Linked DNA regions of Caenorhabditis elegans. The protein of the gene in region 1 purifies or fractionates together with the protein of each later gene. This does not show direct contact. Each region holds a gene or a part of one and is shown in the gene's direction. Other genes may lie near its edges.

Region 1 (3,753 bases):
TATGTCCATTTTGTAGGCGGAGTTTACAAGGTTCCGCCCCTTTCTTAATGAGCAAATAGACTTTCGGTAAATGTAGTGTCTCGTTGAAATAAATTTTATGGTTTTTGAATTTTGTTACAATGATTTTACATAAAAGGATTCTTATTGAATAACCAATAATAAAAAATAACTTGACAGTTTGAAAATAATATGAAACAGAATATAATTTTTCGCATAAATTACTTTTCAAATTAAACTAATTGTCTAATTTTCGTAGTTTTTTGCACAAAGATACTAAACTTGAAATGTTCAATCAAAATTTTTTGTTGCGAAAAAATAATATTCGTTCAGTGGAGCGCATTTTCTTTATTGTAAATTTTATATATTCAAGTTAAGCTCTAAATAGTCCACATAGCCATCGAATATTGAAAATAAATTAACCTGAATATTTAAAAGCAAGTTGAAACAATCGATAATTTTTTTGAAAAAAAAAAAAATTAAAACTTTAAATGCCACAAAGCAGGAATAAAACGAAATTAATCTTTGTCCATTTTGTAGGCGGGGTTTACAAGGTCCCGCCCTTTTTTGCAGTGACTTCTTCAATAAGTTATTTTTGAAGCAAGCAAAAATGGAAGTGAAACAATTAAAAAACTAAAACTTTTTGAAAATAATATGAAACGAAACATATTTTTTTCGGGCAAATTATTTCCCAAATAGTTTTTTTTCACACTGGCTATAGTTTATAAACTCAAAACTTTCAATCAGAAAGTCCCAAACGTATTGATTTTGCTATTAACATTTTTTTTTGTTCAGTGGAGCGCAGTTGCATTGTTGAAAACTTTTTAAAAATTTTTTAATAATACCTAGAACTTATACTAGTATTGAAAAAAAAATCACTTGAAGATTTGAAAGCATATTGAAACAGCAAATTTTTTCACAAAGTAAAAATTTTTTTTTTCATTTTAGTGAGCTACAATACATATCTAAAAATCAATTTTGAAATCCAATAGAGCGCACTTTCAGCTCTCGAGCACGAAGGCCTCAGCTGCCCACAACGAGTTCTCAACACCCAATCAAATATTCTCATCGGATGCGTTCAAACCTACATCACCAACGTGGCAAATGACGCTACAAACGGTTGCAAGTGAGTTGTTTGCTAGAGCGCGTTTGCAGAGTAGATCAAAAAACTAATTTTCAGGTACGGTCAAGACCTCATGAATTGCTGGTCAGCCCCATTCCAGACTGCTCCCTGCCGCAGAGAAGCTGGAGTTGCCACGTGGTGGGCTTGTGAGCAGAATAAGGTTTTCGTGAAGACTACCTTCCCAAGTTGCCCATTGGCTTGTGATGGTTTGTGCAGTAGAGCGCTGTTGCATTTTGTAAAATAATTTTTTGAAATTTTCAGAAAAATTCGGCCCATTCTTCGGTGCCAACGCTAATTGGCTCGATACTCACCACAAAATTGTCGATGATGTTCATTGGTTCAAGATGCCTGATACAGTTGAGCAGAAGGACGGTCAACTTGTCTCTGTTGATGGAGTTTGGCTGAAATCTCTTTAAATTTTACTTTAAATTTGAAAATTTGAAAATTTTGATTTTTTCGAAATAAATGTTTATTGTATTCTTTCACTTCTTAATTGCGGAAAATTTTCATCGAAATATGTTTAAAATCCAGAAAAAAACACTGAAATCTATTTATTTCGAAATTCTGAAAAAAAACTCAATAAAAACCTAAATTTAAACATCCGCCAATTTGACTAAACAACACGCACTCTGTAATTGCGGAGTGTCGTTGCAAGCTCAAGGCGCACACATTTTCCGCTTTGAGTCTCGCACGGAAGAGACACAGGGAAGAGCCGTCGGAGTTTTTTACGGGATGATTTTATTTCTTTTATTTCGCGAGCTTCATTCATTTTTCGTGAAAAAACGTCAATTTTCCACAATTTTTCGTGATTTTTGCGTCATTTAATTGTCACTTTTCGTGTTTTTTTACGCGGAATTCACGGATTTTGCCAAAAATTTCTTCTAATTCGATTTATTTTCAGGTAATATGTCGCTGTCCAGAACGACTCAGCTTCCATTCGCCAAGCGGCAGTTTTTCCAAGTGTTGGCCAGAAATTACAGCAACACTCAAGGTAGGAGAAAGCTTTGAAAATCGAGAAAAATTGAATAAAAAGTTTTTAAAAACCATTTAAACCCGAATTTTTTTTTCCAGATGCCGATCTCGTCGTTATCGGAGGAGGACCAGGAGGCTACGTTGCCGCTATTAAGGCCGCTCAACTCGGAATGAAGACAGTTTGTGTTGAAAAGAACGCCACATTGGGAGGAACCTGCTTGAATGTTGGATGTATTCCATCAAAAGCTCTTCTCAACAATTCCCACTATTTGCACATGGCTCAGCACGATTTTGCAGCAAGAGGTAGGAAAATTTGCTGAAAAAATAATCTGGAAACGCTAAAAATCTGCTAAAATCGCATTATTTTCCCTTTTTTTTCCAGGAATCGACTGCACAGCTTCGTTGAACTTGCCAAAAATGATGGAGGCCAAGTCAAACTCTGTGAAGCAGCTCACCGGAGGAATCAAGCAGCTTTTCAAGGCCAATAAGGTCGGACACGTCGAGGGATTCGCCACCATTGTCGGCCCAAACACTGTTAGTCTGAATTATTTTGATTTTTATCGATTTTTCACTGGAAAATGCTCTAAATTTCAGGTTCAAGCCAAGAAAAATGACGGCTCAGTCGAAACGATCAACGCCCGTAACATTCTGATCGCATCTGGATCAGAAGTCACCCCATTCCCAGGAATTACCATTGACGAGAAGCAAATTGTCTCATCCACTGGAGCCCTCTCTCTTGGACAAGTCCCGAAGAAGATGGTCGTCATCGGAGCCGGTGTGATCGGACTTGAGCTCGGATCCGTCTGGCAGCGCCTCGGAGCCGAAGTGACCGCTGTCGAGTTCCTCGGACACGTCGGAGGAATGGGAATCGATGGAGAGGTGTCGAAGAACTTCCAGAGATCACTGACAAAGCAGGGATTCAAGTTTTTGTTGAATACGAAGGTTATGGGAGCCTCGCAGAACGGATCAACCATCACTGTTGAGGTCGAAGGAGCCAAGGATGGAAAGAAACAGACTGTACGGCGAATTTTCCGATTTTTAGTCGAAGAAATACCTGAATTTCAAGATTTTTCATGGCAAAAACTTTGGATTTTCCTTTAAAAAGGCGATTTTCACACGGAAAATACTACCTGAAGCCTTGAAACGACCGAAAACGTTTCAGAAAAGCTAAAAGCGCGAATTTCGTCTGAAAAATGAGATTTGTGCGGTCCTGTTACGACCGAAATTGTTTAGAAAACGCGTGATTTTCACAAAAATTTCGCATAATTTTCAAAGGCGCATGGATTTTTCAGATGGGTCTCGACGCGAAAAACCCTACAACAGTCTTTTGGTTGCTTTTTCGTTTTTTTTTTTAAATGAAATTACTTTGTTTTTAGCCAATGTAACCGTTTTTCTTCATTTTTAGAGTTTTTTTAAGGCCGGTAAATTGGAAAAACACCACTTTTTAATTAAAAAAACAGTTTATTTCTACTGCGGCACAATTTTTTTCATTAAAATATGTGTTTTTTCTTGTTTACCGGCCTAAAATACACAATAAAAATGAAAATAAAACGACGAATTTTCACTAAAAATTCATTGTTTTAAGCCAAATTTTCGCTATTTCAGCCAAAAAAGAAGTTTATTTTCCAAGAAAAATCCTAAATTCTTAATTTTTGCAGCTC
Region 2 (3,753 bases), about 12 Mb from region 1:
AAAGTTTACTTTTTCGCGAGAAAAAGTAGCTGAGAACACTTTTTTTGGAAAAGGCTATTTTTTTTTCAAAAAAAAGTTTCCGGCAAAATGGGCTCCAAACTGGCATATTTCTCGTATAAAAATGCGGATATGCCACTTTTGAGGAGCTCCCTCCTGTTCCGACAGGCCAATTTGCTCGAAATCTGGGAATTTCAGCTCGAAATTCCAATTTTCAAGTAGAGTACAGCACTCACCTGCTTTATTGAAAATTTCTGCATTTCCTATAGCTTACAACAAATATGAAATGACGAGTTTTTTTTGAAAATCTCAAAATTTCATTTTCATTTGTAGCAGGAGGAAGTGGACGTCACGTTTCTTTTTTTGGAAATTGTTTTTGAAAACAATTTTGGGTGAAAATAACCAAAATTGTCTCAAATTCAGAAAAACTACAAAAAAAGTGCAAAAAAATTGCGAAAGAATAAAAAATCCAACTAAAAACACGCAATTTCTCAATTTTGGTTAAATTTCTTGGGCGACCAATCAGCGATTCGCTCCGCCCAATTTCGAGCAAATCAGCATTGTCCGCTCCATCTGATTGGTTCAAAAATGGGCGGAGCGATTCGCTGATTGGTCGCCCAGAACATTTAACCAAAATTGAAAAATCTTGATTTTAAAAGTTGGATTTTTCATTCTTTCGAAGTAATTTTTCTGGCGATTCGGAAAATTGCCGGAATTGAGAATTTCCGGCAAGTTCGGAAAATTATCGGAATTGAAATTTCCGGCAAATCGACAAAATCTCGGAATTGAAATTTCCGGCAAATCGACAAATTGCCGGAATTGAACACTTTCGGCAAATCGGCAAATTGCCGGAATTGAAAATTTTCGGCAAACCGGCAAGTTTTCGAAAATGAAAATTTCCGGCAAATCGGCAATATGCTGAAATTGAACATTTCCGGCAAACCGGCAATTTGCCGGAATTGAAATTTCTGGAATTGAAAATTTCCGGTAAATTCGGCAAACCGGCAAATTATCGGAATTGAAATTTCCGGCAAATCGACAAATTCTCGGAATTGAAAATTCCGGCAAATCGACAAATTGCCGGAATTGAACACTTTCGGCAAATCGGCAAATTACCGGAATTAAGACTTTCCGGCAAACCGACAAATTGCCGGAATTGAAATTTCCTGCAGATCGACAATGGGCCGAAAACGAAAATTTCCGGCAAATCGGCAATACGCTAGAATTAAAATTTCCGGCAAACCGGCAATTTGCCGGAATTGAAAATTTTCGGCAAACCGACAAGTTTTCGAAAATGAAAATTTCCGGCAAATCGGCAATATGCTGAAATTGAAAATTTTCGGCAAACCGGCAAATTGATGGAATTGAAATTTCCGGCAAATCGACAAATTGCCGGAATTGAACACTTTCGGCAAATCGGCAAATTACCGGAATTGAAATTTCCTGCAGATCGACAATGTGCCGAAAATTAAAATTTCCGGCAAACCGGCAAGTTTTCGAAAATGAAAATTTCCGGCAAATCGGCAATATGCTGAAATTGAAAATTTCCGGCAAACCGGCAAATTGATGGAATTGAAATTACTGGAATTGAAAATTTCCGGCAAATTCGGCAAACCGGCAAATTGCCGGAATTTAAATTATCCGGCAAATCGGCAAATTGGTGGAATTGAACATTTCCGGCAAACCGGCAATATGCTAGAATTGAAAATTTCCGGCAAACCGGCAATTTGCCGAATTCGTCGACAAAACACTGGAGATTTAGACGCGAAATCTCTTCTATCTCTTCTCTCTCTCTCTGCCTTCTGGTCACCAATCAAAAGTGACCGATTGTACTTTGAAGGGGGACGAGACCTCATCTGTGTGTGTGTGTCCCGGGTGATGTGCTGCTCATTGTGCACTTTCACCCCGCCTCTCTCAGCTTCATCATCATCATCTTCTCCGCCTATCTCTTATATGATTTCTTCTTTTTTTTCCAATTTCTTTTGCCTATCCTTTCATCACACACTTCTTTTTTTCCAGTCTTCTTCCCCAGAACACCCTCACTCAGAAAAAAGAATGTCGTTCATTTTGCCATCAGGTTCGTTTTTTCCGTGTTTGTGTGCACTTTTATGTGTGTTGTTTTTTGGTCGTTTTTTCGTGGTTTTTATTTTGTCGACGGAAAGCAAATGTGTAATTCTGCAAAAATTTCCTGAATCAAGTGGTGTCAGAAAGTCTCATCGCGGTTTGATCTACAAAAAATGCGGGAATTTTTTACCAGAAAAATTGTGACGTCATCACACTCTTTACCATGCGAAATCAGTTGAAAAGTCTGTGTCTCTTCTCCCGCATTTTTCGTAGATCAAAGCGAAATGGGACTTTCTGACTCCACGTGCTGAATTGGAATTTTTTTCCCAACATTTTTGCTGAAATTTTTGCTTAAATTTTGCGGAAATAACACTTTTGATTCAAAAATTGCTCCTATTCCCGTAAAAAAGTACTGAAAAGGGGGCTCAGGAACAGATTTGGAGCATTTTGATTTGGAAATTATCGGAAAATTTGCTCGAAATTTTTTCGGCCACCTTTGAGCAGTTTTTAGGCACTTTTCCCTATATTTTAGCTCAAATTTGAGCTATTTTCAAATACTGTCTACATTTTGCACTAATTTGTAGAAAAAATCACGACCGACCATGTGTCGATTTACGCAGCTGTCGTGTACTCCTCGAGGACAAGAGATTTGGCTTAAAAATACATGATTCTGGACCATTTTCCCAAATTTTTGTGTATTTTTTCCTTCAAAATGCCAATTTACCGCACATTTTCTTTGTGCGTAATGGGAGTATATCGCGACATTACTTGAATAAAAACCCATTAAAAAATTGGAAAAATGGTTAAAAATGGAGCATTTCAGCCAAATTTTGTGAAAGTCCTGAACTCCTCGGGGAGTACACGGGGTTCTGGCCTTTCCCATTGATGTTTTCGCGCTCCATTGGCAATCGCCCGCCGGACAACGCGTGGGAAAGTGTCGTGTACTCCACACATGGACGAATACATTTAGTTTTCCAACTAGAACCGCCGAGCCGCGACGCGACACGCAACGCGCCGTAAATCTACCCCAGATATGGCCGAGCCAAAATGGCCTAGTTCGGCAAAAACTCTTCCATTTCAATTTATGAGGGAAGCCAGAGACATCCGTGATAACTTGAATATCCCCATAAAAATTGGAAAAAATGGTCCAAAATGGAGCATTTCAACTAGATTTTCTTCTTCTCAGGGAGTACACACTGCCTGCGTAAATCCAGACATGGCTACAAATATTCCCACCTTCACGTGAATTTTTCAAAAAAAAAATCATTTTTTTTCTGGAAAAATGGGAAAAATCATGAAAAAGTCAAACATCAAACATCTCGAATAGGTGGTCTTTTTTTATTTTCTTGCACACAAAAATGTTCATTTTTTTGCAATACCGCCCGTGTGTACACTGTATATCGTTTATTATTGTCCTTCTGCTGCATTTTATCTGTTCTCACCACCCACCACCGCCGCAAAGAAATGCAATTTATCGCGCTTTTTGCACATTTTTTGTTGCTCTTTTTTTTGCATAGGATTGATGAAAACAAGTCCTCTCAGTCAATTCTAGTATGGAAGTACTGTAGGGTTACTGTAGGGGTACTGTAAGGATACTGTAGTTCTGGAAGTTTTGAGGAGGTATTGTGCTGTAGGGTTACTGTAAGATCACTGTAAGGTGTGTTGGGGTACTGTAGGGTTACTGTAGTTTTG

Evidence for each region. The genes of interacting proteins can lie anywhere in the genome.
Region 2: the proteins of dld-1 (region 1) and nprt-1 fractionate together in Caenorhabditis elegans (co-fractionation; one large-scale study listed by BioGRID). This does not show direct contact.

The regions. Positions count from the first base shown.
Region 1 is NC_003282.8:14,462,496-14,466,248, forward strand, and holds the start of dld-1 (Dihydrolipoyl dehydrogenase, mitochondrial), read left to right. Parts: upstream 1-2,021; 5' UTR 2,022-2,026; coding exon 2,027-2,111; intron 2,112-2,191; coding exon 2,192-2,395; intron 2,396-2,474; coding exon 2,475-2,626; intron 2,627-2,686; coding exon 2,687-3,109; intron 3,110-3,750; coding exon 3,751-3,753. Other genes in the region: nspg-9 (DUF19 domain-containing protein), read left to right, coding at 1,003-1,123, 1,178-1,326, 1,382-1,536.
Region 2 is NC_003282.8:2,883,556-2,887,308, reverse strand, and holds the start of nprt-1 (Nicotinate phosphoribosyltransferase), read left to right. Parts: upstream 1-2,016; 5' UTR 2,017-2,052; coding exon 2,053-2,074; intron 2,075-3,753. Other genes in the region: dml-1 (uncharacterized protein), read right to left, coding at 234-257. UniProt on the Caenorhabditis elegans protein: Catalyzes the first step in the biosynthesis of NAD from nicotinic acid, the ATP-dependent synthesis of beta-nicotinate D-ribonucleotide from nicotinate and 5-phospho-D-ribose 1-phosphate.